Notamacropus eugenii: one gene and its partner. The protein of the gene in region 1 purifies or fractionates together with the protein of each later gene. This does not show direct contact. Links are inferred from orthologs where the notes say so. Each region holds a gene or a part of one and is shown in the gene's direction. Other genes may lie near its edges. The genes, in order: VPS4A and ZFYVE19.

Evidence for each region.
Region 2: the proteins of VPS4A (region 1) and ZFYVE19 purify together in Homo sapiens (affinity purification with mass spectrometry; 3 studies listed by BioGRID and IntAct, counting the BioPlex papers as one, with this or other methods). This does not show direct contact. The link is inferred for Notamacropus eugenii from reciprocal best matches to the Homo sapiens genes VPS4A and ZFYVE19.

Annotation. Positions count from the first base shown.
Region 1 is NC_092872.1:708,679,556-708,694,200, forward strand, and holds the start of VPS4A (vacuolar protein sorting-associated protein 4A), read left to right. Parts: upstream 1-7,844; 5' UTR 7,845-8,064; coding exon 8,065-8,085; intron 8,086-9,936; coding exon 9,937-10,048; intron 10,049-10,147; coding exon 10,148-10,295; intron 10,296-11,225; coding exon 11,226-11,287; intron 11,288-11,369; coding exon 11,370-11,489; intron 11,490-11,896; coding exon 11,897-12,053; intron 12,054-12,239; coding exon 12,240-12,388; intron 12,389-13,364; coding exon 13,365-13,446; intron 13,447-14,058; coding exon 14,059-14,278; intron 14,279-14,645. UniProt on the Homo sapiens protein: Involved in late steps of the endosomal multivesicular bodies (MVB) pathway. Recognizes membrane-associated ESCRT-III assemblies and catalyzes their disassembly, possibly in combination with membrane fission.
Region 2 is NC_092878.1:26,968,034-26,982,678, forward strand, and holds ZFYVE19 (abscission/NoCut checkpoint regulator), read left to right. Parts: upstream 1-7,024; 5' UTR 7,025-7,094; coding exon 7,095-7,148; intron 7,149-7,670; exon of another isoform or gene 7,671-7,794; coding exon of another isoform or gene 7,795-7,853; intron 7,854-7,890; coding exon 7,891-8,012; intron 8,013-8,276; coding exon 8,277-8,330; intron 8,331-8,844; coding exon 8,845-8,975; intron 8,976-9,324; coding exon 9,325-9,470; intron 9,471-9,675; coding exon 9,676-9,790; intron 9,791-9,934; coding exon 9,935-10,144; intron 10,145-11,139; coding exon 11,140-11,213; intron 11,214-11,589; coding exon 11,590-11,679; intron 11,680-11,962; coding exon 11,963-12,093; intron 12,094-12,279; coding exon 12,280-12,358; 3' UTR 12,359-12,799; downstream 12,800-14,645. Other genes in the region: DNAJC17 (dnaJ homolog subfamily C member 17), read right to left, coding at 6,620-6,697; PPP1R14D (protein phosphatase 1 regulatory subunit 14D), read right to left, coding at 13,751-13,816, 14,238-14,270, 14,616-14,645. UniProt on the Homo sapiens protein: Key regulator of abscission step in cytokinesis: part of the cytokinesis checkpoint, a process required to delay abscission to prevent both premature resolution of intercellular chromosome bridges and accumulation of DNA damage.

The DNA of each region.
Region 1 (14,645 bases):
AAAATAGAGTATGAATGCCATTTGAATTACAACAGTCATCATGAATCTGAGAAGCAAGCAGCAGCAAAGGCTCACAGCTGGCCTGGGTGTTGACTCTGGCAAACTAACTGAAATTCAGAAAAGAGCAGGTCTGTGATCAGGGAGCCAGGCCAGCAGGTTCTCATTGGAGAGAGGTGGGCATCCCATGAAAGATCCCAGGAGTAAGCATTTTTGAAATGGTTCTGAAGACTGGACACTTGTGTAGGGCATAGTGGTTGCCTCTTGAGCAAGCACAGACCACTGCCCTACCTCTTTCCAAGAGCTTCTGCTCTTGCATAATTCTCACGTGATAGGGATGAGGAAAGCGCCCTTGTTCTCTTGTCCCAGATATGTGGAATTTCTGAAGACTAGACCTAAGTTGTCCTCTCTACTTGAACTAAAGAGATACAAATCTAAAGGCAAAATAGAGTTACTTATAGACTTTATATTATTTTCAAAATCCACAGACTCATCTTAAATTGCAATTTAGAAGTTAATTGGTCTTTTAAATATCTTTTTCATCTCAAATCCAATTTGAATTTTGATACTAAGTCTTGGTGGCTGGAGGCAGCTGATAAGACCCAAGGACTTTTTTTTTTAAAGAATGCCTTGAAGCCCAAAGTCATATCTTAAAGCGAACTCTAGCACTTGATGCAGTCAGATCTAGGAGCCTGGCTCTTTTCAGCAGGAGCTGTCAAATCTGCACAGTCAGAATATCATTACATGGGACTCCTGTTTTCGGGTGAACAGAAGTTTAGCTCTGCAGACTCAAATTTCCCCAACAACGTCCCTAGATTCCTGCTTTGCTGTGGATATTTTTATATATTCTTGTTTTTTAAAAAAAGCCTGAGCCAACAAGAAATATTATCATGGGAATGTCTGGAAACCACCCTATTCATCCTTCTTTGCAAGAAGATTTTGTACAGGGTAAAATGTCAGTGAGAATAAGAAAAAGCCATCCCTTGTCCGTCCTTCACTAACCTATAATCCAATGGTGGATTTCATTCCCCCAGTTTGGGCTGCTCAGGCATAAAGCCTCACAGACCTAAGGGTCTTGATTAGATGTTTGCATGCAAGAAAGAGAAACAAAATGGAACAGAATGGAAGCCCACTCACGAGACACCAGCCTCTCTGGGGAGCCTTTAGGCTGCACCTGTTAGACACTCTTGGAGTCATCCAGTCATGGGTGACCAGGGTAAGGTTGGTGAGATCCCTAGCTCACAAAAGGAATGCTTTAGGAAAGGACAGCCTGCATATATAGGTTTCTAATTAAGCTCACCAAATACGGCAGATTGTTTGAAAAGAAGTCATTGCTGCCTTTCTGCCTCTGACTACCCTCCGGTGGCTTTTGAGTACCTTCTGATTTTTGATCAGGAAACTTGTGAAAGTGCTTGGTGCTCTCCATGGTTGGGCTTAAAAGGAATCACTGGACATTGGTTCGAACTCCTATGCAACCACGGTGTGGGGGTTGAAGATCTTTCCCGCACCTTCCCCCCACCTTCATGTGATTGAGTTCATAAGCCACTGATTGGTGAGAGGGTCTGCTCATTTCCTCCTTTCTTTCTCTTTTTCTTCCATTTCCCTCTGTCCTTACCTTGACATCTTATAAAGAAAAAAATGGAAAGGTAGGAACAGCTATCTTTTTGTAAAAGGAAAATTTTTCCTTCCAAGATCATAAACTAGAACTCAACCTGCAAATGAGTTTGACATCTAGCATTATATAGAGAAGCATCTTTCTTTCATGTATGTTTACGCAGTTATTTATTAGAATAATTATAATTGTAATTATATGTAACTACCCAGTAGACCTCAGGAATGTGAGGTCAATACTGGCTATGTGCACATACTCAGAATATTATTCTAAAGGCCATTCAAGTCTTCAAAAGCCATCTTTGAGCACTTTTTAAACAAGGGATATCTTATTGGTTCACATTATCCGTTCATATTATCTGCACTCTCAATAACTTTATGATTCCAAAAACTTACTGCATAGGCAGGAAGTAGAGCTATGGAATTCCTTGTTTGTTACATTTCTATTTTTAAAAATTATATTTTTAAATAGCAAATAGCTAAAGCTGTTACTAGTTATTCATGTCTCTAAATTAACTCTGTAATGGTATGTGCTAGTAGCAAATCTTACCTACTATTTAAATTTGCACTTAGTTGCCAAATCATAAGTTTTTTTCAGTTTTTTTAATTAAAAATCCATGTGGAGAATTAATAAGGTCATGTTTCTCCCCCCAAAATAGCTTTTGCTCTAAGTGATTTTCACTGGCAAGGAGGTGTAACTACATTTGAAGAAAGGTCTGATGGATTTTTTTTTCTCAAAAAACTCCTTCAGATCCTAGGATATAATTTATGTGCATGTTATATTAGTATATTTCCAAAAATGAGACAGTCCCTGTTCATGTTTTTCTTTTACTTGTAAACTACCTTGTAAGCTGCTATGCAAATTATCTTCAAAGCCCTACATGCTTAAAGGGTTAAACATTCTTTAGGCTCCAAGGAAGATGTGTAGACTTAGGCACTTTTCTCTGTGTTTTTTTTAATCTTAGCTCTGACACTTCAGCTGAATTATGTTAATGTCTTAATTTTGGTGGCTATAAACTATTCATTTAAACTGAACAGTATAAATGTCCAGCATTCACTTTATGTTGCTGCCAATGCTAAATGAAACTATAGTTGATCTGTCAAGTAGGAAGGCCAAAGGTTGCTACTGAATCCTGTATTATTAAATGAAAAGTTAAATGCCAAAACTCTTTGGTTCTGAAGCTGCTTGCATCGGAGAAATTCTAATTTCTATAAAATAAGGACTTCTTTAGACCTTAAGACACTGCTTAAACTATATTTTAGGTTAAACATGACCCACTGCCCTGCTGCAGATTGCTTTTTGGCAAGACCTCATGCAGTCAGTGAAGTCTGGAGTGTTTTTCAGTTAAATTTAGATCCTATTTGTCTCCCCATCCCCACCCCAGTATGGAAAGTATAAGAATTCATTATCTGATGCCCCCATTTTAGTTATCACTTTTACCTGGTAACTGAGAACTAGGTACATCAAAGTTTTACTTTCAGTTGGTGGTTTAAGATGCTGGTATTTTTTTAAACCACACAGTTCATAAAAATCCACATTACTGGGCTCTTACCCAATATTTGGTGAATACTTATGGGTTGATAAACATGTCTAAAATGATTGCACTACCACCTTAACCACTTGATTCTCTAAGGGTCTTATAAGTGATGCATGAGTTTGAGTGACTTGTCCAACAATCTTAGAGATTTGTTTTATGTAGAGAGTGTGTTAGAGTAGCTACTCTAAAGTCCTTTCCCATCAAAGGTGAGTTTGGCTTTTGCTACTGGTGATGTAGGTTCGGTTGCATATCCCAAGTGAGTCTGTGTCCATGTTGCAAAATCTGAGTTGGAGGGTTCCTCCAATATCTAGCCTTGGCCATACCTGACCAAGAATCCCCTCTGCAATACCCCCAACAAGTGGTCATTCTGTCTTTGCCCAAGAACCTTTCAGTGAGGTAGAACTCACTGCCCCCTGAGGCAGCCCACTCCACCTGTGGAGGGTCCTAATTGTCAGAAGGTTTTATCTCACATCCAGCTGAAACCTGCCTCTGCAAATCTTAACTGTTGTTTTTTGTTCTCCGTTTGGGGCCACATAGAACAAATCTGTTTGTTCCCCTTTTCACACAAAAGCCCTTCAGATATTGAAAGTTAGCTGTATGGTTTCCCTTAAGTCTTTTCCTTTCCAGGCTGAACTTTTTCAGTTTCTTCATAGATTTTCTCTTAGCACAATCTCAAGGTTGATCATCCCACTTATCCTCCCCAATGTTCTCCACTTTATCGATGTCCCCCACAGCTAACTGGCCCTCCTGTAGTCTGGTGAAGCAAGTGTACAGGAGGGGCAGTAGGCCTTTCCTCCTTACTCTGCCCTCCTGCCTCCCCCAGTGCAGCCTAAGACCATGTTACTGATACTGTGGCTGCTGTTATCACAGTGGCTACTGTGTCGACTCACTGGGCTTCTATAAAGTCTGCTAAATTTTTCCATGTCTTTTTGACAAATTTGTCTCTAACCACACTCCCTAGTTGATACTTTTGAAGCTGATTTTTTAAGTGAGACCCCATATACTTAATAACAAGTTATTTACATATTTAGCTTTTAAGGAATGTTTTTAGATGTGATGGTTTTATTTGAGAATTGGTGAAATTTAACTTCAGCATCTGATCATCTCTCCTACAATGCCCTTCCCGGCTTATGAACTTCTCCAGTGACTGAACCTGAAGTATTTTTTCTTGTTTTCCAAATGTCTTGCTTTTCATGTCATGGTTATATGTGCCTTTTTACAGACAACATCTGGCGCTTGTGTCTGACGAACATAGTTACCAGTAATGTGCCATATTAAGCATAACTCAACTTGTCTAAAAATGTATTGGCTAAAACTAGATATAGCTTATACTGTAGTGAGAAAGAACATTCACCAAGCATTGAAGTGCCTACAATTCACAGTGCTGCATTTGGTGCTTTGGGGCTTTCAAAAGAAGCCAGACTTGTTGACAAATCTAGTTCATGCCCAACTAAATCATGCCTTCTCTTCCACAGTAGGTTTTAAGGACTTCATCTCAGATTTTTACCAAAGTGGTTTCCCATTTTTACTGATTGGGTATGCTGGCAAACCGAACAAAAAGGTCCACAGTGATACTTGGGCTTTGAGAAAAGACTGTCTATTTCATGAAAATGAGGGTGATAGTCTGAGCACTTTAAAGGAAATCTCATATTACATTAATTATTCAGGAGGGAAAACCTGCAGGAATTGCTTCAGGGGGAAGGTAGTGGAATTCTCATCCAGTGGTAGACTTGGAGTAGAAGTAGAACCACTCTTAAAGATTTTGGAGAAGGGATTCAGGACTTGGAGAGGGACTGGCTTAGGTGACTTCGGGGTGTTTCTTCCAACTATAAGGTAGAATAAATTGGTTTTTTCTTTCTCACTGAACAAAGAAAGGAAAAGCTTGATGTGACATGTTATGGAATTTCATCTCCTAACTAAGATGTGACCAAACAAAGCAAGCTCTGTTGTTCTGAGTGAAGAACTGTGAAGATGGAAGAGATGGGGGGAGAGAAGAAATTCTTTTAATTACATAGAGCAGAATTAAAAACGATTACTCTTCGTTGCACCCATCAACTTTTTTCTAAATGGTGCTGTTAACATAAATTCCCAGATTGACATCCATCTCAATAGCTCCTTATCTGCATAGTAAAATGCTTCCCTAGTGATTGGTCAAAATGAAGAGTGGGAAACTCAGAGAAATATCCTTTTTTTTTTTTTTTTTAAAGCAACTACTGGAGACATGGTCCCAGAACATGGAAAGTACTTGAGAAAAGAGAGAAGACAAATTTTAATTTATCAAAAAGTTTTTATCCAACCAAAGCCCTTTTCTATACAAAATGCCTTATTGAGTTAAAAATAGGTTTTTCCTCTGACCTCACAATATTGATCAAGTTTTTAAAAGGATGAGCCTCAGGTGTATTCAGAAAAAAAATATTCCTGTTCTTGGTATAGCACATGAAAGTCACATTGGCCCTTAACTAATCCCTTGTTTTCATATGTGCTAGAACTGTACATGAAAACTGTTCTTTGCCTCAATGTCTTCTTGTTTGTTACATTAGATGCATACTTGGAGAACCTGGTGTTCTCCATTCTATATAATTGGGATCTGTATATTTAGGTATCTGTAATCCATAGCCTGGGAAACATGATCTCATTTATCCATTTTTTTTTTGTTTAAATGGATTCAGTTATATTTCTCATCTTTATGCAGTTACCATATTAGAAGGCAGGAGTATGGATAATATTTTAAAATTGTATTTCCCATTTAGCATCACCACTCACTAATAGCTGTTGTTTCCCTTGGTAAATCTGCCCTTTGGAAAGAGCCATTTTGGAATTACTTGCTGTAATAAATGGCACCAGTGTATATGTTTACACAGTGAATAAAGCATGACAAACAGCAGCTATTCCTTTTGGTACCATGGACCCAAGGAATTTGGGGAAATAACGTGTAAAACCACTTCCCAACGTGGCCTGTTTTGACTAACATCTGTGCAAATTCGTGCTCCCCTTCCCCTTTTTTTTCTTCCCCCTTCCTTTCCCTCTTCTCCTCTCCCTATCCCACCCCCATATTGTTCCTGGTGATTTTTAAATATTGAGACTTAGAAGACTGTAATAATACTGCTAGGAAGAATCAAAAGTATTTCTTGTATTCAAAGAGAACTTCTTTCCTCTTATCTTGGATCTTCCGGTTGGTCTAGGCTACCAAATCTAAATATTCATGTAAAACAGGGCAGTATTGTGTTCTTATGTATCAATCCCAGGAAAGCTTTATATGTACACTATAAATACGGATACTTAGACAACACTTTCCTTGAGTTGCATATTAACTATGGCATTGTACATTACAATGAAAATGTGTGACTTGAGGGCAATACATATAAGTACATGTACACCTTTGTAACCTTTATATTGTAAATAATAAAAAGTTTTCCTTTTAGATGTGCTCGTTTTTACCTTCGGTGTTTCCTCTTACAAGATACCTGTTCAAATTGTCACCTGCCTCAAATGCCAGTTAGAAATAGATTTAGAGCAACCACATGTTCCCAGGTAGTATTTTAATGGTCTAATGAGTTCTGGTTTGGGTTGTACAGCTGGCTTCCTGAGGACAGAAGCTAAATCACTGGATCCATCTGGTCCTGTTTTCATACAAATTATGGGGGGACTGGGGAGAAGGGAGGTTTACTTTTCAGAAATAATATCGAGAAATAAGAATAGTTGAAAATCATTAAGTGTCAGTCGTTTCCTTTGAACATGATCCTCAACAACTTTTAATCCCGGCCTGTTTCTTCTCATCGTCCGGGGATGCGCGCTTGAGAAATGCGCCGGACTCTTAGCGAAAGCCCGAGTTTGTTATAATTAACAATTAACAAGAATTAACGAGGCAAGTGTTCGGCAATCAAGCTGCTAAATGCGGTAAGAAGCCTGGTGCGTACAATGATGTCGCAGAATCAGAAAATGAGGGGACATCCAGTAAGCAGGACCCCCGTAAGAGCGCTCCTTGACAGCCCGCTGCCAGCCAGGCCTGGGCTCACACCCAGCGCGCACTGGCATCCGTGGCACCTGCCCGGGCACACCTGAGCGACTCCGCCTGCGAAGCGGCCCTCCCTTGGTCCTCAGACACCGAGGGGCTACGGGAGCGGGCGAACCCTCCCGCCCGGCCGGGGCCCGGCCCCCCTCCCTCAGGCACTCAGGGGCCGAGGCTCGGAGACGTGTCACCAGCAGAGGTGCCCGAGCAGGAGGGGCAGGCGGCCCCGCGTGCCCGTGCCCCCCCGGCCCTCCCGCTGCGCGCCGGTACCAGGGGTTCCGAAGTCCTGGGGCAGTTTTAAGCTTAAAGACAAAGGGAGGAAATGAACCTTGGGTTTTACTCAGTGAAGCTCCGTGCCCGCCGGGCGCCGCAGGGCTGTGTCCTACCTTACAACTGCCCCAGGAGGGGCTGCCCGGCCTTCCAGGCTCTCCACCTCCCTTTCCAGCCTTACCTTCTACTGCCCCCATCCGCAGGCTCTGCGTTCCAGCCACCCGGGCAGTCGTCATCATTACCGCGCTCGCGCTGGCTCCATGCCGCCGCTCCGCTTGCCTGGGATCCCCGGTCTACCTGCCCCGCCGCGCGTGGCCGCTCGCTCGGGGAATGGGGGGCGGGGATGGCTCCGAGGTTGCAGCTCTCGGCTGCGGCCGCCAGGGGGCGACCGCGGAGCCGGTGCCGGGCCGCTCTAGGCCGCGCTCGCCGTCCTCTCGCTGGCTCTCTCCCTCTCGCTCGCTCGCTCGCGGAGAGTTCGGAGTCGAGCGGAGCCGAGGCCGCCCAGCCGGGGCCCCGCCCGCTGCGCGTCCCCTTCCGCCTGTCGGCCCGTCCTGGACCCAGCGTCCTCGGCCTCCCGCAGGGGCCCGCACTGAGGCCGGAACCAGAGCCGCGGGCTGCCGGGGCCGCCCGGGAGATGAAATGACAACTTCAACTCTCCAGGTACCGGCCTCGAGGGCCTGGCGGGGGAGGCCGCGGCGGGAGGCCGGCCGGGCCGGGGCCGAGCCGAGGCCGCCCGGGAGGCCTCTGGCCCGGTCCGCCCGGCCCGCCCGGCGCCAGCGAGGAGGATGGGCCCCGGCCCTCAGCCCCTGCATGCTCGGGGCCCGCCGCTGGGGAAACTGAGGCCGCCCTGGGCACGGCCCGACCCTCCCGTGGTGGGCGGTGAGCCCCCGCCCTCCACCCACCCGCGGGAGCCCGGCAGGTGCTGCGCCCCCCTGCGGGCGCCGGCTGCAGCCGAGCCGGTTCCGTCGTTTTACCGATGGGGAAACTGAGGCCCGCGGGAGGGAAGCGACCCGCCCCAAGGTCATCCCGGGAATGGCGGGAGGGCCAGGATGGGAGCCAAGGCCCCTTGGAGCGTGCCCCGCGGCAGCTGGCCGCCCTTCCCCCCTCCGGCCCTCCTCCGCCGGCCGGTGTGGTCTCCCCCGCCTTCGGAGCCGCGTCTTTATCCGGAGACACCGAGGGGGAGGCGGGTTCGTACGCTGGCGGGCTCTTCTCTGCTCCATAACATTTCCGTCCTGAAACTTCGGTACCTGACCTACTTCCATTTAGCCCTGGACAGTCGGACAGACGGACTGACGGGCTGACAGGGGGGCTGTGAGCGCGGGCAGCTCCTTCCACCGCAGACATCATTCTGCGTCTGACCCTTGGAGCAGCCAGGCTTGGGGCGTTAGTGTGCCCTGGTTAGGGGGTCCAGAAGGTGCCAGGACTTTGTCTTTGAGGCTCATGCTGCCCTCCAAGTGTGCTCCAAGAGAAGACTAAAGCCCTAACGATAGCGAACCCGTGCTCTCCTGGCTTTTAAAGCTCTTAGATTGGTTGTCATTAACCAGAACGGATCTCTTCAGCTGTCACATTGCCTGGAAATGTCTGTTTTTCTGGTGGAAGAATCTCTGACATTTGACAATGCCTTAGTCCCAGAGGTGATGGACCAGGAGATCTGTCACTTCATCAGAGATGGGGTTTTAGTTACCAGTTGTATTTCTGCTAAATGCTTTCTGTTCCTTCCAAAGGATGAAATCATGAGTTTCTATAACTAGAATAAAGATACTTCATCCTTTAAAATCCCACTTGGGGGGAGGAGGGCTGGGGAGGGTAACTAGTCTGCAAAAATTGTGTATCGTATGATTCGATTTGACTGTCAGCACGTGTGTCTTTCAGAGAGAAAGACCCTCCTTGTGTTCTCAATCATTGAAATTTCCCACACTTAATGTAGGGTCTCAGGAATATCCTCCTCCTCCTCTCTAACCAAAGGAAGCCAATTCAGTGGAGCAACAGAACTGAACAAAGTTCTCTTGAAATCCACACAGTGAGGCATAGAAGTGGGCACGGTGCTTCTCTGAATCTCAGAGCATCTTCCACCATTTGATTCTGGAAACAGTGTGATTTCTGGTCTTCATTCTAAACTACTTAGTGGTAGTAGAGGGTCAGTAGAGTCCCAGATCTTCTGTTGGTGGCCACTTTCTTTTTGGAGTAGAATCAAATGTCCCACTAACAACAGAGTGACTTCTCCATCCTTTTGTAACTCTAGTCTGGGACATTAGCTCAGGTTTCCTCCTGCTGGAATCCAGAGAGGAGAGTGAGTATGAAATCCCTGTTAAGTGTGTGGTTATTGTGGAGAAGGGATGACTATCTTTTAATGCCTCCTTTTAAAGCCTTTCTATTTGATGGCTGGGAAGTGGTTGGCTCTCCTGGCCTAAGACAAATGACTGAGCTCATTGGCTCCAGTGTCTTCCTGCTGCTTGTGACTGAGTGTTTTCAGGATCTGTTTGGGAGCCCTGTGTCATGTCGTCTTTCCAGAAGGCCATTGATCTGGTGACAAAGGCGACAGAGGAGGACAAAGCCAAGAACTATGAAGAGGCACTGCGGCTCTACCAACACGCTGTGGAGTATTTCCTACATGCAATCAAATGTGAGTCAGGGCGGGGTCCTGAGCTGCTGTGGGCAGGTGGAGGAAAAGGAGGTGACCTCCGAGGCTAAATAGGCCTTTTCTTGGGTGGCCCTTTTATAGATGAGGCACACAGTGATAAAGCGAAGGAGAGCATTCGGGGAAAGTGTATGCAGTACCTGGACCGGGCCGAGAAGCTGAAAGATTACTTACGGAATAAAGACAAGCAAAGCAAAAAGCCAGTAAAAGAGGCTCCAAATGACAGCAAGGGGTGAGTGTCTCAGCCCAGAGGGGCCGAATCAGTGTGGCCGAGAGAATCCCCAGAGTTCCCAAGGGCAGACATCCCTTTTTGGTGTGGCCATCTAATGAAATTAGATAAATAAATTAGTTTAAGTGACCTAATAAAAATAACCTGAACTTATGGAGTTCCTGGCTCTTGAATTCCAACTGAAATTTCACCGACCACAGCAAGAGAAGCTTGCAGGTGGTGTCCCAGGGACAGAAATGTGCTTGTAGAGAGCATGTCATCAGGAGGAGACATGATTTGAAAGGGTGGCTGCCTGGAATGGAAGGCCTTTCCTGGAGGACAGGAAGGCTCCTGGGAACAGACCCTTCTTCCAGGAGGACAAGATTTTGCAACAGTGTTTAGTTTATTCCTCCATAGTGACAGTTGTACATGGATAGGGAGAGCCTGCTCTCTTAGAGGATTTGGGGGATGCTAAAAGTCAGAAGGGGCAGCATGGGTAGTGGATAGAATGCTGGGTTTGTGTCAGGAAGACCTCTGGTATTTACTGTGTCACTGAGGCTGACCAGCTAATGCTGTGCTTGTCTCCTCATCTGTAAAATGGGGATAATAGTCCTGCATTACCTATTCCCCAGGGCTTTTGTGATGTTTACATGATATAGTGTATGTAAGTAAAGTTAGAGCTTTGTGTAAATGCTGGTTATCATTATTTTGTGCCCTGAAGAGCTGCACTTAACAATAGCATATTGATTTTACAAACCAGCTTCTACTTGTTATGAGGATGGATTGGGTGCCTTTCCTATGGGCCTTTAGTGGGTGGGCGCCCCTGTCAAAGCCACTCACGGCATCGCCAGCAGACGTCTCTGTCCCTTCTCTTGCACACCAGCGGGCAGGCGCTGGACCTTGCTGCTGCCAACATAAAGCATCAGCTTGTGACTGCCTGTTTCATTTCCACAGAAGCGACAGCGACAGCGAAGGAGAAAATCCAGAGAAAAAGAAGCTGCAAGAACAGCTGATGGGTAAGTTGCATGAGGCTGCCGAGGTCACCCTTGGGGCTGCTGTGGGGCCCCTCCTTAGGGCCCCTCTGCCTCCTTGTTACAGGGGCCATTGTCATGGAGAAGCCCAACATTCGGTGGAGTGATGTGGCCGGCCTGGAGGGAGCCAAGGAAGCGCTTAAAGAGGCCGTCATCCTGCCAATCAAGTTCCCACACTTGTTCACAGGTGAGAGCTGAACTGATTCAGTCCAAATATCAAAAATAAAGTTGAAAGCTACCAAGAAGAGGTGAAAACTATTTCCCATTCTTTTTAGTTAGAATGAGGACACAGGATTAGAGCCTGCTGAGCAGTTAGGGCCCTTGTGGCCTGGTGTTCCCCATCCCCTACCACCTCGGTGAGGAAGATGCCAATCCCACTTGACTTGTTAGCTGACTTTTGGTCCAGCTCACCCACAAGAACATTGTCAGTAGGCTTGTGTCACTAAGTGAGCTAGAGATGGTCAGGGTTCATTTAAGATGGTCAGGCCATATATGGACAGGACAAAAGGGCCCAACTTCAGTGTTAGCTCCCTTGATCCTCTGAGTCCAGAATCCTTTGCTGCTCATCCACCAGTTTTTTGTTTCTTCCTGTAGGCAAGCGTACCCCCTGGAGAGGGATCCTACTCTTTGGACCTCCTGGCACAGGGAAATCTTACCTGGCAAAGGCTGTGGCAACAGAAGCCAACAACTCCACCTTTTTCTCTGTGTCCTCCTCAGATCTGATGTCCAAATGGCTGGGGGAGAGTGAGAAGTAAGTCGGCAGTCAGGCCACATTCCCTCCAAGCTCTGGAGCCAGTGAAAATGGCACAGAGCAAGCCCTCCCTTTGAGAGAACATAGTCCCCCCTGTCCTGCTTGCTGACACATCCCCAGAAGCCATATAGGGGTGGAGAGGGTTGGGGTGAATAAGGGCAGTCATATTCTGGCTTTTCATCACAGGCTTGTCAAAAACCTGTTTGAGCTGGCCAGGCAGCACAAACCCTCCATCATCTTCATCGATGAGGTAGATTCCCTCTGTGGATCTCGGAATGAGAATGAGAGTGAGGCTGCTCGGAGGATCAAGACAGAGTTCTTAGTCCAGATGCAGGGTGAGTGCTGAAAGGAGCCTGGAGGTCACTGCAAGTGCTGCCTTTATTTTACAGGGGAGGACATTGAGGTCCTGGGGATGGGGGGAAAGGGACTGCCCAGAACTGTAGAGCCAGAGCCAGCCCACCCTACCTCCTTTGCGTCTCTACTCCTTGGCCTTCACTTCTTAGAATCTTCACACCGAACACACTCGCCCCTCCTGGACAGCCGTGGGACAGAGGGCCTGTCCAGCAGATGTGAGCAGAAATGCATGGCCAGGCCTGCCAACAAAAAAGCTGCTGAATCTGCCACAAGCAGAGCTTCTGGTGGAAGACGGATGGACATTCTGCTGGGGCACCCCACACAGAAAGATATCCAGCTCCTGTGCTGGTGTTCAGGGTCTACCCATACCAGGGTGCCAGCTGGCGCTAACATTGAGGAGAATTTGGGACTTGATGTTTGGCCTGTAGCAAGGCACCCTGGTTCATGGGGACGCCGATACCCATCAGCCATGACCTGATGAAGAACTGGGTGGAAACTGCTGGTTTTTTAGAAACACATGGGCCTCCCAGAGCCATCAAAGCTTTGGGGATTTCCTCGTTTTAATTTTATTTTTAAAGAAATGTAAATAGGATTTAACACAGGTCTCTTAATTCCCTGTCCAGGCCTCTTTTTATTCCATTCTCCTCCCTCCCTTCTGTCCACTCCTTAGCCTTCTTTAAGTAGCCCTGGGTAAAGTCACCAGTACTTTGAAGGAGCTCTGGAACTCTTGACTGTGGCTGTCACCCTGACAAAGCCCAGTTGTGCTTGCTTTGTCCCCTCTGAGAAGCCGACTAACTCTAGCTGATGTACTTTTTGCTTCTCCTCCTACAACCCCAGATGAACCTGTTGTCACTTTAGGGGGTGAGGGTGCTCGGCTCCAGCACAAAGCCCTCAGAGGCTGTGGCTAGTGATGGTCATGTCATCATGGTCAGCTTCTTATTTTCCTTCTTTCCACAGGGGTTGGGAACAACAATGATGGCACCTTGGTCCTGGGTGCCACAAATATCCCATGGGTCTTGGATTCAGCCATTAGGAGGAGGTGAGTAGGAGTCACCCATCTACCAGCTGCTAAGCATTCTCCATCCGATTGTCAGCTATACGTTACTCAGCCACCTTTGACTCTGGTCATAACCTGCTTGGTTCACTCACAATTTCTCTGGGTTTGATTTGGGGGAGGTTACACCTCAGAATCCCTCAGATGTGTTGTGTCCGGGAGCTGAAGAGCTTCTCAGAATCATGCTTTAAATGCAGAAAATAAAATACGTAGGATTACAAAGGAATGCAATTATATTGCAATGTAGTGACCGTAACACTAAGAGAACCAATCCATGGGGGCCTTGAAATTGATTCATGGCCTAGCTTCAGAACTCCTGTGCTACAGGATAATTCATTTGTGTTCTTTCCTTCAGAATGAATACATTCAATCAGTCATTCTCCTTTCTGCCTACCTCTCCACATAAGTTCCCTTGGGCTAATGTCACTTATATACTTTTGTTGGAGATAGTGAGTAATGTCACTGTGGCACTGGTGGCCTCGAATGGCCAGTCCTGTTATGCTGGTATTTCAGTGGAAGGAGTTGGGGAGACTTTGGATGGAACCTCCATACTTCTCTAAACCTCTGTAGCACCTATTCCTTTGCATTTGGCTCTAGGTTTGAAAAACGAATTTACATCCCACTGCCTGAGGAAGCAGCCCGGACCCAGATGTTCCGGCTGCATCTTGGGAACACCCCACATAGTCTCACGGAGGCCAATATCCTTGAGCTAGCCCGGAAGACTGATGGCTATTCAGGGGCAGACATCAGCATCATCGTGCGGGATTCTCTCATGCAGCCTGTGCGAAAAGTGCAGTCAGCAACACACTTCAAAAAGGTAAGAAAGTGAGCTGTGCACCATGACAGTGGGAGGAGGGCATGAACTGTACCAGGCAAGTGTTATAGGCTTCCTTTTTTGTACATTCTGGCTTCTTGTGGTGTATTCCTGTTCTTAAAGGAGAGTAGAGTGTGTGTCTGATGTCCCCCTCTTCAGGTCCGTGGACAGAACCATGTTGGAGATGGGGTTGAATTTTGGGGGGGAGGGGGGGGCTTGAATTTCAGGTCCTTGTCATTTTAAGAAACATGCTGGGAGCACAGTGATTGGTTAGGGGAAAATACCAGATGGAGCGTCTTCAGGAGTGGGTTTTGGTGGGCTGAGATGAAGGAGGTGGGTATGAAAAAAGGGAGTGAAGATTTAGGAGTAA
Region 2 (14,645 bases), on another chromosome or scaffold:
GAAGGTATGGGGGAAAGGGAACAGAAAAGAGGAGAGTGTTCCCAAGAGTGCTGGGTCTAGGAGGTCTTCGCACTGTCCAGATGCTCCTGATAGAGTCTGGGCAATTACAATACCAGTTCAGTAATGAGGAAATTGAGGCTTAGGGAGGTGAGGTAATTTGCCAGCAGAATCATAAGCAGGATGTGAACTCAGTTTTCTTCTGACTCTAAGTCCACTGCTCCTTCTTCTATATCAAGAGCCAAACCTCCTGTGCCTCTTCTCCCCATCATCATCTTCATCATCACAGCTAACATTTGGATAGCAACTACTATGTGCCAAGCATTGCACTAAACACTCTGGGAGGTGGAGGCTATTATTACCCCTATTTTGCAGATGAGGAAACTGAGGCAGACAGAGGTTAAATGGCTTGCCCAGGGTCACACAACCAGTAACTGTCAGAGGCCAGATTTAAACTCAGGCCTCCTAGACTCCAGGCCAGGTGTATAGTACTAACCAGAGTACTAACTAGTTACTCTAAAAGAGTTTCATCCATGTTGGAGCTTCAAGGCAGGGTATGCATATGAACCAACAAGCATTTATTAAGTGCCTGCTATGTGGCTGAACTGTGTTAGGCACTGAGGATAAAAAGACAGGAAGGAAGTGATCCTTGACCTTTAAAGAGCTTACATTCTCTATCAGGGAACAATACATAATATATGAGGAAATTAAAAGCATGTACAAAATAATGGGGATTGGGAGTCTGATAGGTGGCCTCCTACAGGAGATGACCCTTGAGTTGTGGTCTGGATGAAGGTGGGGATGCTAAGAGGCAAAGGTGAGGAAGGAGTCTATTCCAGACACAGAGGACAGGAAGGGCATGGGAGTGGGAGAAAGAACATCTTGGAGAAGGAATAGTTGCAAGTAAACCAGTCTGATCAGAACACAGAAGGTATGAACGGAAGTAATGTGTAATAAGCCTGCAAAGGAGGGATGGAAAGAGTTTTAAATGCCTCCTAAGAGGCAAAAAATAGGGAGTCACTGGACATTTCTGAACAGGAGCATGACAGGCTCAGACCTGGCTTCAGGCTGGACTATCACCTCAGAAGCTATATGGAAGAAGGCTTGGAGATGAGTAAACAAGCAGATGAGGGGTGAGGGCCTAAAGCTGCGGGCAGCCAAGAGAGTAGAGAGAAGAGAACACTTGCTAGAGAAGCTGGGGAGGTAGAATCAGCAAGACTTTTTGATGAGTGAGGAGTCAAGCAGATGCCCTCAACAGAAATAAGGAAATTAGGAGGAAGGTTTAAGGACAAAGAATGAGTTTTGTTTCAAATGTGTCAAGTTTGAAAGGGATGGGGCCCCTTTTACCATTATTAGAAACTCCATTGTTAGGAGGGAGCAGAGTAGAAAGACACACATACACTAGCTCTTCATCAATAGCCCATAAAATACCTATAAAAAAAGACTCTCAACAAATTCTAGAGCAGGAGAAGCCACAGAACAACGGAGTGGAGGAGATTTCCAGCCCAGGGTGACCTAAAAGGCCAATGGGAAAGGTCTGTTGCACTAGACATGGATCGGAGCCCAGCCCAGCCTTGGCCTTGAGGCAGGGTCCAGGACAGGAGCAGGCCTAGGGGTGGAATCCCCAGCAGCAGTAGCAGCAGTTTGCAGATCATTCAACCCACAGGTGCCAAAGGTCAGTGAGAGGGTTTTTTTCAGCTGACTGAGAAGGAAGCAGGGTTTTCCCATAGTTCTGGCCTCAGGTGGCGGGTGGCAGAGATGCAAAGCAACAGCAGCCTGCATCCATTGTTGGACAGTAAAACCCCTGGGGGAACTGAGCAGCTGATACTTACCTCAGTCCTGTATGGTGGCCCTGCCCCCACCTAAAGCCCCTGGGGGAATTGAGCAGATTATCTGAATCTCAGCCCCCAGTGCTGGCTTGGTAGAACTGGAGGCCAGGTGGTTGTGGAGAGGAAACTACTACTCAGATTCTGGGCACAAAAGTTTCTGGTAGCTCCCAGACCAGTGTACAGGCTTGATTGTGCCACCTTGGAGGAACTGAGATATTACAGATTCCCAGAGTATACCTTACTCTTGACAAAGGACCCAAAAGTCAAGTAACTGGTTGGGAAAAATGCCCAAAAAAGGGAAAAAAAATAAGACTATAGAAGGTTACTTTCTTGGTGAACAGATATCTTCTCTCATCCTTACAGATGAGGAAGAACAATGCTTACCATCAGGAAAAGACATAAAAGTCAAGGCTTCTGTATCCCAAACATCCAAAATAAATATTCAATGGTCTCAGGCCATGGAAGAGCTCAAAAAGGATTTTGAAAATCAAGTAAGAAAGGTGGAGGAAAAACTGGGAAGAGAAATGAGAGAGATGCAAGAAAAGAATGAAAAGCAGGTCAACACCTTGCTAAAGGAGACCCAAAAAAATGCTGAAGAAAATAACACCTTTAAAAATAGGCTAACTCAATTGGCAAAATAGGTTCAAAAAGCCAATGAGGAGAAGAATGCTTTAAAAAGCAGAATTAGCCAAATGGAAAAGGAGGTTCAAAAGCTCACTGAAGAAAATAGTTCTTTAAAAATCAGAATGGAACAGATGGAGGCTAATGACTTTATGAGAAACCAAGAAATTACAAAGCAAAACCAAACGAATGAAAAAAATGGAAGATAATGTGAAATATTTCATTGCAAAAACAACTGACCTGGAAAATAGATCCAGGAGAGACAATTTAAAAATTATGGGACTACCTGAAACAGGACAAAGGACAGAAATGCAGAGTATGGGGCTTGGCCTTGTTCTGCTCCATACTTCCTAACAGCTTTCTCATCTTCATCAGCAACCAGATTCTGCTTTACATCCCAGCTCCCCACCCAAGCCATCTTGCTCCCTCTGCCCTCCCAAATCATTCTACTAGGACCAGTCCCTTCTGGACCAGACCTCCAGAAATCATGCTCATGGGTCTCTGAAGGAGTGGATAAATTCAGCTTTGAAACTCCTACCTTGAGGCTGATCTAGCTTGATTGATGGGTAAATGCAAACTCCTGTGGCCCACAACATCTAGCCAACTGAGACCAGACCACAAATTACATCCCATAAAGCTGTATACCCTTGCCTTCCAGCTTGTCACCTGCCTACCTCCTTGGGCCACAAATCAACATTACCATTGTTTCTGGAAAGGACATGTCACCCACCGTGACTCCCCAGACCAAAACCCCCTTCCCTGGCCACCATTTCTCTACATTTCCCCACATTTAAAGATGGGGTCCTTGAGGTCAGGGACTATCTCTCTTCTGTAACTGTATTCACTCAATCAATAAGCATTTATTAAGCACTTATTATGTGCCAGGGTGCTAAGGCAAAGGATGGTCCCTGCCCTTGAGAAACTCACACCCTAATGGAAGAGACAATATGCAAAAAACTATGTACAAACCAAATACAAGATAATCAACAGAGGGAAGGCACTAGAATTAAGGGGAAATCGGGAAAGGTTTCCTGTGGAAGGTAGAATTCTGCTGCTGTTGCTGAGTGTTTATCGTTCTCAAGAGGATCATGACATCAGAGAGGTGATACCGTGACATGCAAGTGAACTGAATTTAAGTGTAGGAGAGCTGGGCAAGATCAAGACAACTGGAGAAGGCCCAGGATGCAGTGGGGGACCTTGGGCTTTTCAAGCTAAAGTTTTACAGGCCTCAGTAGAATTTTAGCTGGGTCTTGAAGGAAGCTAGGAGGAAGATATGAGGAGGGAAAGCATTCCACTTAGTACAATGCTTAATGAATGCTTATCAGATCTCACTTCTTTCCCTTCTTTCCCCCTTCTATTCTTCTTCCCTCAAACCAAACGGCAAAGGAAAGCCTCATGATATAGACCATAGTGCATTGGTTTCAGCATGGAGCTATTTTCTCTTTGAGGAACCCCAGGCATTTTCTTCCCATGCAATTGCACAAATATTTGACTACCTCCCATGTAGGAAGCAGGTTCTATATTGGATACAGGGATCAGTAAAATAGAGTCCTTGCCTTCAAAGCGCTTACCATCTAATAATCTAATACTGAGATTTAAGAAAATCTATAAATCTAGACAGCATATAAAGTACAATAACTGTAAAAGAGCTGTAAAATGCTATGATAGTTCAGAAGTCACATGTCATTAGGAGAAACAAAAAGGCTTCATGAGGAGGGCACTTGGAATGTGCCAGACTCCAAGAGGCAGAAGCTACAGACACTGGAGGGGCTGGCAGGCTCAGTGTACACTGCAGTGGGCTTGGAAAGGTGGCTTGGGGCCATGCTGTGGAAAACCTTGAATGCCAGAATGAGATGCTACTGAAACTTCTTTTTAACAGGATATTAATAACATGGGTCAAATCCCATACTCAATAAACTTGATTGGCTCCCTATTATCTGCAGGATCAAATAATAAAATCTGACGTTTAAAACTCTTCATAACGTGACCTCCTCCCATTCTTCCCCAGCTGTAGGGTGCAGTCACACTGGCCTACAGGCTGTTCCACTCCATCTCCCATCTTTGCACTGGTTGCCCCCCAAGCCTGGAATGTTCACTCCTCATTTCTGCCTCTGGCTGTCTTCAAGATCAAACCCTGTTTTTCATAAGGGCCCTTCCCCAGTCCAACAGTCCCTTCCCTCAGCTGGTACTTTCATATACTCTCAATAGTGTCAGGTGTGTCCGTCCATCTGTCCTTCCATCCATCCTTCCGCCCTTCCTTCCTTGTCTTCCCAAAACCTTAAACCCAGTGCACTCTGAAGCCCATAGGTTGGACAACAGGTCCCTGCCCAAGCTCCACTTAACGACTGGCTTACAGTGATTATCAATGGTAACGGTTTTCTCTTTCCCTCCCAGTTTGACTTAGTTTTTTTTCTTTTGCTCATTAAAAGGGCCATACCCTGACTACTTCTTAAAGAGGCCTGTCCACTCAATGGGTGTTACCTCATTTTAAGGGAGTAGGTGAAAAGTCTCCGAGGGCCTCCTGGGTCATCTCCAGTCATCCTGATGAATAGCTGGTCAGTGGACCCAGATGGCTCTGGAGGAGAAGTGAGGCTGGGGACCTGCACAGCCCTTCCCCGCTCAGATCAAAGTCAAGCGCAAGTGATGTCATCACTTCTCTGACGTCATGGTCTTCTTCAGCTCGCCAACAGTCATTCACAAGCTGCGGCCCATCAGAATGGGGCTCTTTCCTCACATCCCCAGCCTGGCACATGCCAATGGCTAATACAGGACTGCTGATTAGCTAATCAAGCTCTGGGTCACTTTATAAGCAGGAAAATGTCCTGACAGCACCAAACCGATACTACACCCTTCTAACAGGAACTGTTTAAGTTCTATTAAGTAAGCAAGGAAGGAAATGTTGGGAAGGAGGAAAGAAGGAAGGGGGAAAGGATTGTGGAGAGAGGGGCATGCTGGGGGATGAGGAAAGGGGAGAGGAGGGAGAAGAAAGTGGGAGGAAGAGGAGGAAGAGGAAAGCGATGGGGAAGGAAGAGGGGAAGGGAGAAGAGGGAGGAAACAGAAGGAGAAGGGAGCAGAGGAGGGAGATGGGAGAGGGAAAAGTAGGAGGGGGGATGTGGGAGAGGGAAAAGAGGGAGGGGGGAGGGGAGGAGGAGGAGGAAAAGGGAGAGGGGAGAGGGAGGGGGGAGATGGAGGGGGAGGGGGAGGCGGAAGGGAGAGAAGAGAGAGGGAGAGGAAAAGGGGAAGGGAGGGGGAGATGGTGGGGGAGGGGGAGATGGCAGGGGAGGGGGAGATGGCAGGGGAGGGGGAGGGGGAGGCAGAAGAGCGAGAGGGGAGAGGAGGGGGAGGGGGAGGCGGAAGAGGGAGAAAAGAGGGAGGGGGAGATGGTGGGGGAGGGGGAGGCGGAAGAACGAGAGGGGAGAGGAGGGGGAGGGGGAGGCGGAAGAGGGAGAAAAGAGGGAGGGGGGAGATGGAGGGGGAGGGGGAGGGGGAGGCGGAAGGGAGAGAAGAGAGGGAGGGGGAGATGGCAGGGGAGGGGGAAATGGCAGGGGAGGGGGAGGGGGAGGCGGAAGAGCGAGAGGGGAGAGGAGGGGGAGGGGGAGGCGGAAGAGGGAGAAAAGAGGGAGGGGGGAGATGGAGGGGGAGGGGGAGGCGGAAGGGAGAGAAGAGAGGGAGGGGGAGATGGCAGGGGAGGGGGAAATGGCAGGGGAGGGGGAGGGGGAGGCGGAAGAGCGAGAGGGGAGAGGAGGGGGAGGGGGAGGCGGAAGAGGGAGAAAAGAGAGAGGGGGGAGATGGAGGGGGAGGGGGAGGCGGAAGGGAGAGAAGAGAGGGAGGGGGAGATAGCAGGGGAGGGGGAGGGGGAGGCGGAAGAGCGAGAGGGGAGAGGAGGGGGAGGCGGAAGAAGGGGAGGGGGCAGGGCGAAGGGAGAAGTTCCCATAGGCCCATGGCCCGCGGCCCCCCCGAAGCACAGAGGCTCCCCGACCACGGAGGGGGCCCGGTACCGCCCAGGAGGCGCCCAGACCGTTGGCCCGGGCAGGGGACTGTAGGCTAGGAAATGCTTGCAGGCCTCGGTCCCGAGAGCAGCCAGGGCGCTGCTCCTCCACCCGGGGCAGCTCCAGCTTCTGCTGTTGCTGTTGCTGCCGCCGCCGCCGCTACCACAGCCCGCAGACTCTCACCTCCTTGTCGGCCGCCTTCTCCCCGACTCCCAGGAGCGCGTACAGGTCCATTTGCAACAACTCCTTGGTCACCGCCATGGTCCCGACCCCTGAAACCGGCGTCTGTCTCCGGGAACTACAAATCCCAGAAGCCTAAGCGCGGGCCCGCGCTAGGGAGTCCTCACGTCCAGCCGACCCTGCGTTCACTGTTTAGGTTGGAGGCGCTTTGCCCCCTGGGAATTGAAGTTTTTTTGGAGCCCTCCGAAGGACTCCGCTCGAGAAAAAGAACTACCCTTCCCAGCAAGCATCGCTCTAGACCCAGGTGGACGGAGCCCGGTCTATCCAAAGGCCTCCTGGGCTATTAAAGGGTGGGGGCCCCCCCGAAGCCGATGGTAGTAAGGACGAGATCGCTGCTCCCATCTCCCTCGAAGGTTTGGCTGCGGAGGCGCAGTGTCCTGACGGCCCCAGGAAGCTGTCTGTCTGTCCTGCCCTGGAGATGGAGGGCAGGTGCTATGGTTGCGCGGTCAAGTTCACCCTGTTCCGAAAGGAGGCAAGTCTAGTTCTCCCTGGAATGTGGGGGCGATGCACCTCCCCTTGTAACCATCGCCCCGCCCCCTGCCCCGCCCCCGCCCGTCACCCCCTCTTCTCCCCCTCCCTCGCTGCCCACCTTTCCCCGCTGGGTCCCCGCTCCGGAACTCCCCTGCCCCGCGGCTCCCATCCCGCAGGCTGGCTGTATGTGTCCTCTCCTTTCCGGCCTGCCCTTTTGAGTCACCTGTCCCCATGGCTTTCCATGCCACCAGGGCCAAGTGGACCCAGCTGCTAAGGATCCCTTGGGTGCCCCCGGGGCGTGTGGTCCTGGGCATGGTACCCAGCTCGCTTCCTGGGCTGTAAGAAGAAGGAAATGCTTCCACGTGTGAGGAACCACACCGATAGACTGGGAGGATGGCGACCCGTCCTCGTGCCACCCTCTGTGCCAGGGGCAGATTGAAATGGGGCACCCCGCCCCGTCATCACCCTCTCTCCAGAAGAAGCCCGAGCGTCTGCCACATCTCTGGGGGCAGAAGAGGGCGAGAACGATGTGCCAGGAAGGAACCTGGGAGAGGATTTTCTTTTCTCCGGTCCGCTGAGCGTGCCCCTGGCTCCATCTCCCCACCTCTGGAAGTGGTTTCCCACTGTTTCCCTCCTCAGAATGTCATATGTTCTTCATCCTGAGAGATCCCTGCGGGAAAAGTGCCCCAGGAGGACCAGATGGAGTGTAAGTGTGCGTTTTCTTGCATCTTGTTTTTGTGTAGTGTGGTTGTAAGAACTGTGGTCGAGCCTTCTGTTCCAACTGCCTCTCCTTCAGTGCCGCCGTACCCCGCTTTGGGAACACCCAGCAAAAGGTCTGCAAGCCTTGCCATGAGGCGCTGACCAGGTGAGTAGTATGGATGATCAAGCTAGACACAAGAGCAGCCTCTGGTAGGGGGACTGGATCATAAATTTGTGAATGTGGAAGAGGCCAGCGGAAAGGTCATTAAATAGGATGCTTCTACAGTTCCACTTACCTATATATGTTCCTAAGTCTGTAATATAAGGATCTACTGCAGTGAGGCAAAATGTATGCTGGAGGAGCGCTAACTGGTATGGTGGCAGTGCCCAAAGGAATGACTCCTTATGACTCTGAACTTTCTTCCTGCAGAGGGCCTTCGGAAGCCAGTGTCTCCAAGTGGTCACCACCTGAAAACTACAAGAAGTGAGTGTTGGAGGGGTAAGGATGGAGATGGGCATGGAGACAGGGAATCTACCTCATGCTGAGGTATAGAGTCACAGAGACTCTCTGTGGAGACTATCTTGTGACCCAAAGGAATATAGAATGTTGGGAAAAGGTCCCCGCTTTCCAGGCTGCCTGGCCCAATATCCTACCCTATGATACCTGTCGTAATATAGAACTTTCACTAATTTATGCACGTTCAGTCCTGGCCTCTCTGCTACAGTCTCTTGCTGGGTTAGATCTGGGGAATACATAAGGGCTTGCAACTAGAATCTCCCTTGAGGGGACAACTTTTCTACCCAAGGCACCCCTTTCTAATCTAGACTTTGGAATTTCCTATTGATAACTGGAGAAGTCTTTTTCTTACCTACCTCTTCCCCTTACTTTGAGAAATCCAGAAAGTAGGCTCTGCTTTTCCATCCCTTTGCCTGTACCAACTACTGGTTCCAGTGACCCTTGCTTTTCAGTATCCTTCTCCATTTTGTCCCCCCAATAGGCGTGTTGCTGCATTGGAAGCCAAACAGAAGTTCATTGCTCCCCAGGGCGTGGTTCGGCCACAGGGACTGTCTCAAGAAGACCAAGTCATTGTCAAGCGACTTGAAAAACTCCGCCAAGAAACCAAGCCTAGTGAGTGGGATTGGGAATGGGTCCAGCTGAAAGCTGATGCAGTGGAAAGAGCATCGGATGTGGAGTCATCAAATTCAGAACCCATGTCTTTCACTTACTCTCTGTTTGACTTTGGGCAAAGCACTTAACCTCTTGGGGCCCCAGTTTCCTCACCTGTAAAATAAGAGGGTTGGACTAGTTAACGTCTAAAGTCTCTTCTTGCTCTAAGTCTATGATGCTGTAAACTCCAAATCACTTCAATGGGAAGGGGAAGCCTCAACATCTAAGGGCGTGTGTATAGAGAAGTGGGCACTAAAAATCCTGGAGTAATTCTAGGACCTGACTGGTAGCTTTTCTGTGTGTGCTACAGAAGTGGTACCTTCCCAGGCAGAGATCGAAGCCAGGCTGGCTGCTCTTCGGAATGAACCTCGAGGCCCCATCCCTTCCACTGAGGACATGGAGGATCGACTAGCTGTGCTGCAGGGCAGGCTCCCCCCATCGCAGGCTCCTCAGCCAGTAAGAGCTGTAGCCCACCACGTGTGGACCTTTGGCCTACCCAGCTGAACAAAGTTGGTTGTCTGAGTTCTAGTGTCTCTGTTGAACCTTATTACCCTGGATGGTGCATCTGCTTCTAGATAGGGTACCCCATCATCCCCCACCTCTCTGCACTCTATGCCTTTTCGGGAGCTCTTCCTGACTGGGGTTCTCTCCACTGATCCAGGTCCACCAACTTCCTGACACCAGGACACAGGCCCAGCAGGCAGAAGATCTCTTGATACAATTAGCAGCTGAAGTAGCAATTGATGAAAGCTGTAATCAAGAAACTCCACCTCCAAGTAAATCTCTCCCTATCCCCTGTGCCTGTCTGTTCCCTCAGGGATGATTTACCATCACCTCCTGACAAGGGAAGATGAGACCAGCCTTGTCCCCAGTCCTTAGCTCCCTCTTCCAACTTTAACCCCATCTATGGTTTCTTTCAGGCGTCTCTCAGCAAAATGACCTTAATCGGGACAGCCCAAGAGGCTGGAATATTGGCCCTGATGAATTGGCCCACCAGCAGCTGGAAGGAGAGAAGGGCAGGCTCCTAGCGGAGGCAGCAGCTGAGCTCAGGGAGGAGAACACGCGGCAGGAGAGGATCCTGGCCCTTGCCAAGCGGCTTGCTGTGCTTCGGGGCTTGGACCCTGAAGGAGGTAGGGAAAGGGGCTGGGAAGCATCAGGATTTGGCCCACAGGGCCAGGGGCTGCTCCTGTCCCATCATGCCTGATGCAGGGGCCCAACTACACCCTCTATCAAGAATGAACAAGTCCTACTTTGGAGTCAGCAAAGCTGCAGTGCCCCCCAGAGCAGGAGACTGACCAACACCTGCCCCCTACAGGTGGATATGAGGCTCAGATGGGGCGGGCAAGCAAAGGGGCCCAGCTTCCATCTTCCCTATGTCCCGCACTTTCCCTAAAGCCTAATGTTGAGAGAACTTATCTGAGCAAATGCTCAGGAGGAATGCCATATCTCTCGCTCGTCAGTCCCTAAGGCTGGTCTGACTTCAACAGCCTAGCAGGATGTGCTCCAGGCATTAAAGAAACTGCTGTTCCAGGACAGGCTCAGTGTCCTTGTAACCTCTTTCTCCACCAACATCCCAGGCTGCCAGAGTGACATTATTAAATCAGTCTGGCCATGTCACCTCCTCCCCAGCCACCCCCATTCAAATTCCAGTGGCTTCCTGACGTCCAGAATCAAATAGAAGATTCTTGCTAGGCTTATTCTGACCTTTTTGGGCATTCTCCATGAGCTCTAAGGTCTAACCACCCCGGCCTCCGGGCTCCTCCTCACATGTGACTCCCCATCTTCTGGGGCTTTGCATTTCAGTCCACTTAGGATGCTCCCCTCCCTCACATCCGCTGCCTGGCCTCAGTGCCCCTGCTGTGAGAGGCCCTCCCCGGTCTTCGCCCATCTCCCACCTCTCTTCTGAGGATTCCCTCTCCTTTACGCTCTGGCTTGTGTGCGCACAGTTGTTTGCATGTTGTCTCTCCCATTAGCCTATGAGTTTGAAGGCAGTTCAGTGCAGTACCTGGCACATGGCGATGAATAAATGCTTATTGACCTAAACCTAACAGAGCTGGGCAGGGAGGTTGATGTGCTCCCAAGAGACATCTTCTCAGTGTTAATTTCCTCCTTCCCTTGCCTTTAGTGACCTTGCAGAATTATCACTTCCCTGACAGTGATGAGGATGAAGAGGAGGCCATCCAGCGAATCCTTCAGCAGGTAAGGCTGTTCTGAACCATACCTTGAGACCTAACCTGTCTCCTGTTTCTCCCTCACTGGGTCATTTCCCCACTGCCTGCCATGCCCTTCCCCTCAGAATGCACATGTGCATGCTTTCCCAGGGCTTGGGGTGGTTGCTGTCTGGGCCCTGCCCCTTTAGTTGAACACTTGCTCCCATGCAACCCCCATTCTGCTTTGTGTTCCCCGATGACTGTGGGGAAGCAGCAGCCAGAGTGGGAGAGGAAAGTGAAACCAGGCAAGGGGTGGGGACAGCTTGGGTGGGGATTGAATGGAAAAGGTTGCAGGGAGACTGACTGAAAGAGAAGTGTAGAGAAGAGGCTGCTCCTGGAACCCTCCTCTCTCTTCCTGTTTGTAGCTTACAGAGGAGGCTGCCCTAGATGAGACAAGTGGCTTCAACATCCCTGCAAAGCAGGCGCCTCCAGCCCAGGCCCAGCCAAAGCCTAAGGTGAGACACCTTGGGCACTAGCCCTCAAGTGTGGTACAAGGGTCGTGGGGTTCTGACTTTGAGTCCTGGTGAGTCTTCTGCTGGTAAAGCTGTATGACCTTGAGCAAATCATTTAATTTATTTGGGACTCAGTTTCCTTATTTGTAAAATGAGGGCCTCTAAGGTCCCTTCAGGCTCAAAGCCTACGATCCTATTCATCTTTGTTAGTGCACTTTGTTCCCATCACAACAGCGCCCTGGGGGGAGAGTAACCCTCTACTTGTCGGCCCTCCCTTTCTCTTCAGGCTCTGGCTGTGGCCCCCAGGGCTGAATCGGAGATGGCAGAGGAACTGCCTTGGTGCTGCATTTGCAATGAAGATGCCACTATACGCTGCCATGGCTGTGATGGCGACCTCTACTGCTCACGCTGCTTCCGGTGGGGAAAGGGGACCCTGTGCTGGGGCTGCCAGAGGCATTTGGGAGTGCACAGGGAGGGGAGTTGGGTGCCCAGGGAGTGGGTACACACACACACACACACCACACACACACGTATGCACACATGCAGACATGTGCCCACTTCCACTGAATTAGTACTACTGACCATTGCCCCTTTTGCCTGCAGGGAAGGCCATGATGCCTTTGAACGGAAAGAGCACAGGACATCTGTCTACCGTGCACCCTGCAGGGGACGAAAGCACTAACCCCTTTGGGACTTTGCTGGAGTTGGTCCTGCCGGAAAGGCAACCCTGTAGTTAGTTCCCTTGAGATGCTGGGGAAGGGGCCTAAGTGTAATGGTTCCTAGTTCTGCCTACATCTCAGAGGATGCTCCTCATGGGTGCTACTCAGAGGGTGGAGCTGATCCAGGAGGAAGCCCTCCTCTCAGCCTTTGGCTTCCCAAGGAGAAGGCAGGATCCTCTTTCCTAAGATGGTGACTCAGCAAGGGGAAGGGCCTGGGAGTCTTGGGAAGGATGCACCCCAAGTCAGAACCACTGATGGATGGAAGGTCATCTGAGCATTTTGATTCTTACTGTATTAATATTATCAGTCTTAAAACCTGGCTCAAAAAGTTGTTCTCCCTCCTGGTCCACTGGAAAATACACAGTACCTCATTAGCCTCCAATAAAATGTGTCAACTCTCCAAAGCTTGTGTCCTCTCTCTTCCATAAGGCCACAGGAGACATGAGATGAAGAATTAGGAGCAGGCCAGGGGCTACTTCTGGACCTTGTAGGCCAGGTCAAGGCATTGGATCTGGGCAGGGATCAGGCTTTGGGCGATCTGACACAACTACCTCAGTTTTCTCAATGCCTCTGGTGCTGGGGTTGAGAATAGGAAGGATACCTGAGTCTTGGGACCCATCATGGACCTTAACTCCCCTCCTGCAGTCAGTCCCCATATTGCTTTCTGTATCCAAAATCTGAGCACTATTGACTTCCTTCCAGAGGCAGCTAGATAGCACGGTGTATACAACACCAGGCCTGGAGTCTGGAAAATCTAAATTCAAACGCTGCCTCAGACACTTACTAGCTGTGTGACCCTGGGCAAGTCACTTCACCCTGTTTATCCCAGATAGCACCTATTTCCCATAGTTGTTGTGAAGACCAAGTGATACAATAATTGTAAAGCTGTGGTCATGATGGCTATAGCCCTGTGCCATCCATCTGCACACCTTTACCCACCTCCTACCCATTACTTTTGCTACAAACGGTCAATGATCCTTCACCCCATTTCCCTTTGGGTCAGTAAAACTCCACACCAATAACTTTTCTATAGGCTTTACCCTTTTAGATCCAAAACATGAGTCATGAACTCTAGAGGTGGTGACCCAGAGTCACTTGTCCAGTCAATGAGGAGGCCAAGCTGGTGTGCTGATACTATCAGGCTGAAGCTGTATATGCCCCATATCCCCTAGGGCAGTGTCCACACATTTCATCCTCCAACTTGCTGGCCCATGTCTCCTGAGGGGACTTGCCACTCATCTCCATAGTCAACGCTACAAGGTTGAGGAGGTGACTCTGGGAGGCAGGAAGGGTGAGGCTTATAAGGGTCCATAGTCAGCTGAGGTCTAGGGGTAGGTAAGGTGGTACATAAAGTTTCATTTCTGAGGCCGACTGAGCCTCCGGAGGCTCTTGAGGCGGCAAAGCAGCTCAGAGATAAAGGGCTGGAAAGGGAAAAGATGCTGGAGTTACACATGTCACTTGTAGTCAAATCTACCCCCTGCTTCTACCTTCCACCACACCATGGCTCTGCCCCTGGATGGTACTGACCATTATTCCTACCTCTAGGAGAGATTCTACCCACTTCCCCCCAACCACCTCCCTATAGGGAACTCAAGTAAAACTACCTCCCACAGTACCTTCTGAGATGACCTTCCATCTGACTCCATATATGTCTTCTATGTATCTATAGTTACTTACAACTTATTTCCCCCATTAGAATGTAAGCTGTGGGAGCAGGGACTGTTTTTGCCTTTATATCCCCAGTCTAACACACAGTAAGTGCCTAATAAATGCTTGTTGGCTGACAGACCAGATACCTGCTCTGGCCTCCTCTCATTCCTTGAACAAACTGGCCACACTCACCTCTGTAGGACTGACGCATTCTTGGAGCATTGCCTAGGAAAAAGAAAGCCAACGATGAGTCACCCCAAGGCAGCAAACCTTTTCTACAAACCTACAGTCTCCAGACTCTCTGCCCAACTCGAACTTACTGCTCGTCAGGAAAGAGCTATGAGTCCTTCCCCAGCAGGAGCCCAAAGGCTCTTTCCTAGAGCCTTCAATTAGCCATCTCTACCCAGTTACCCTCCTCCTGTCCCTTCACCTAAATCTTGACTCCAGAAAGAGCTTCCAGAGGATGGTCTGCTCCTCCTTCCTCCGCCCCCTTCCATAGACCCCTTCAGCCCCAAGCTTCCTGTTTCCATGTGATGTAAAACAATCTGGAGCTGAGCCTTCTAATCCCACCTGCAGTCTGGTTTTCTGTTCGTCTGTGGA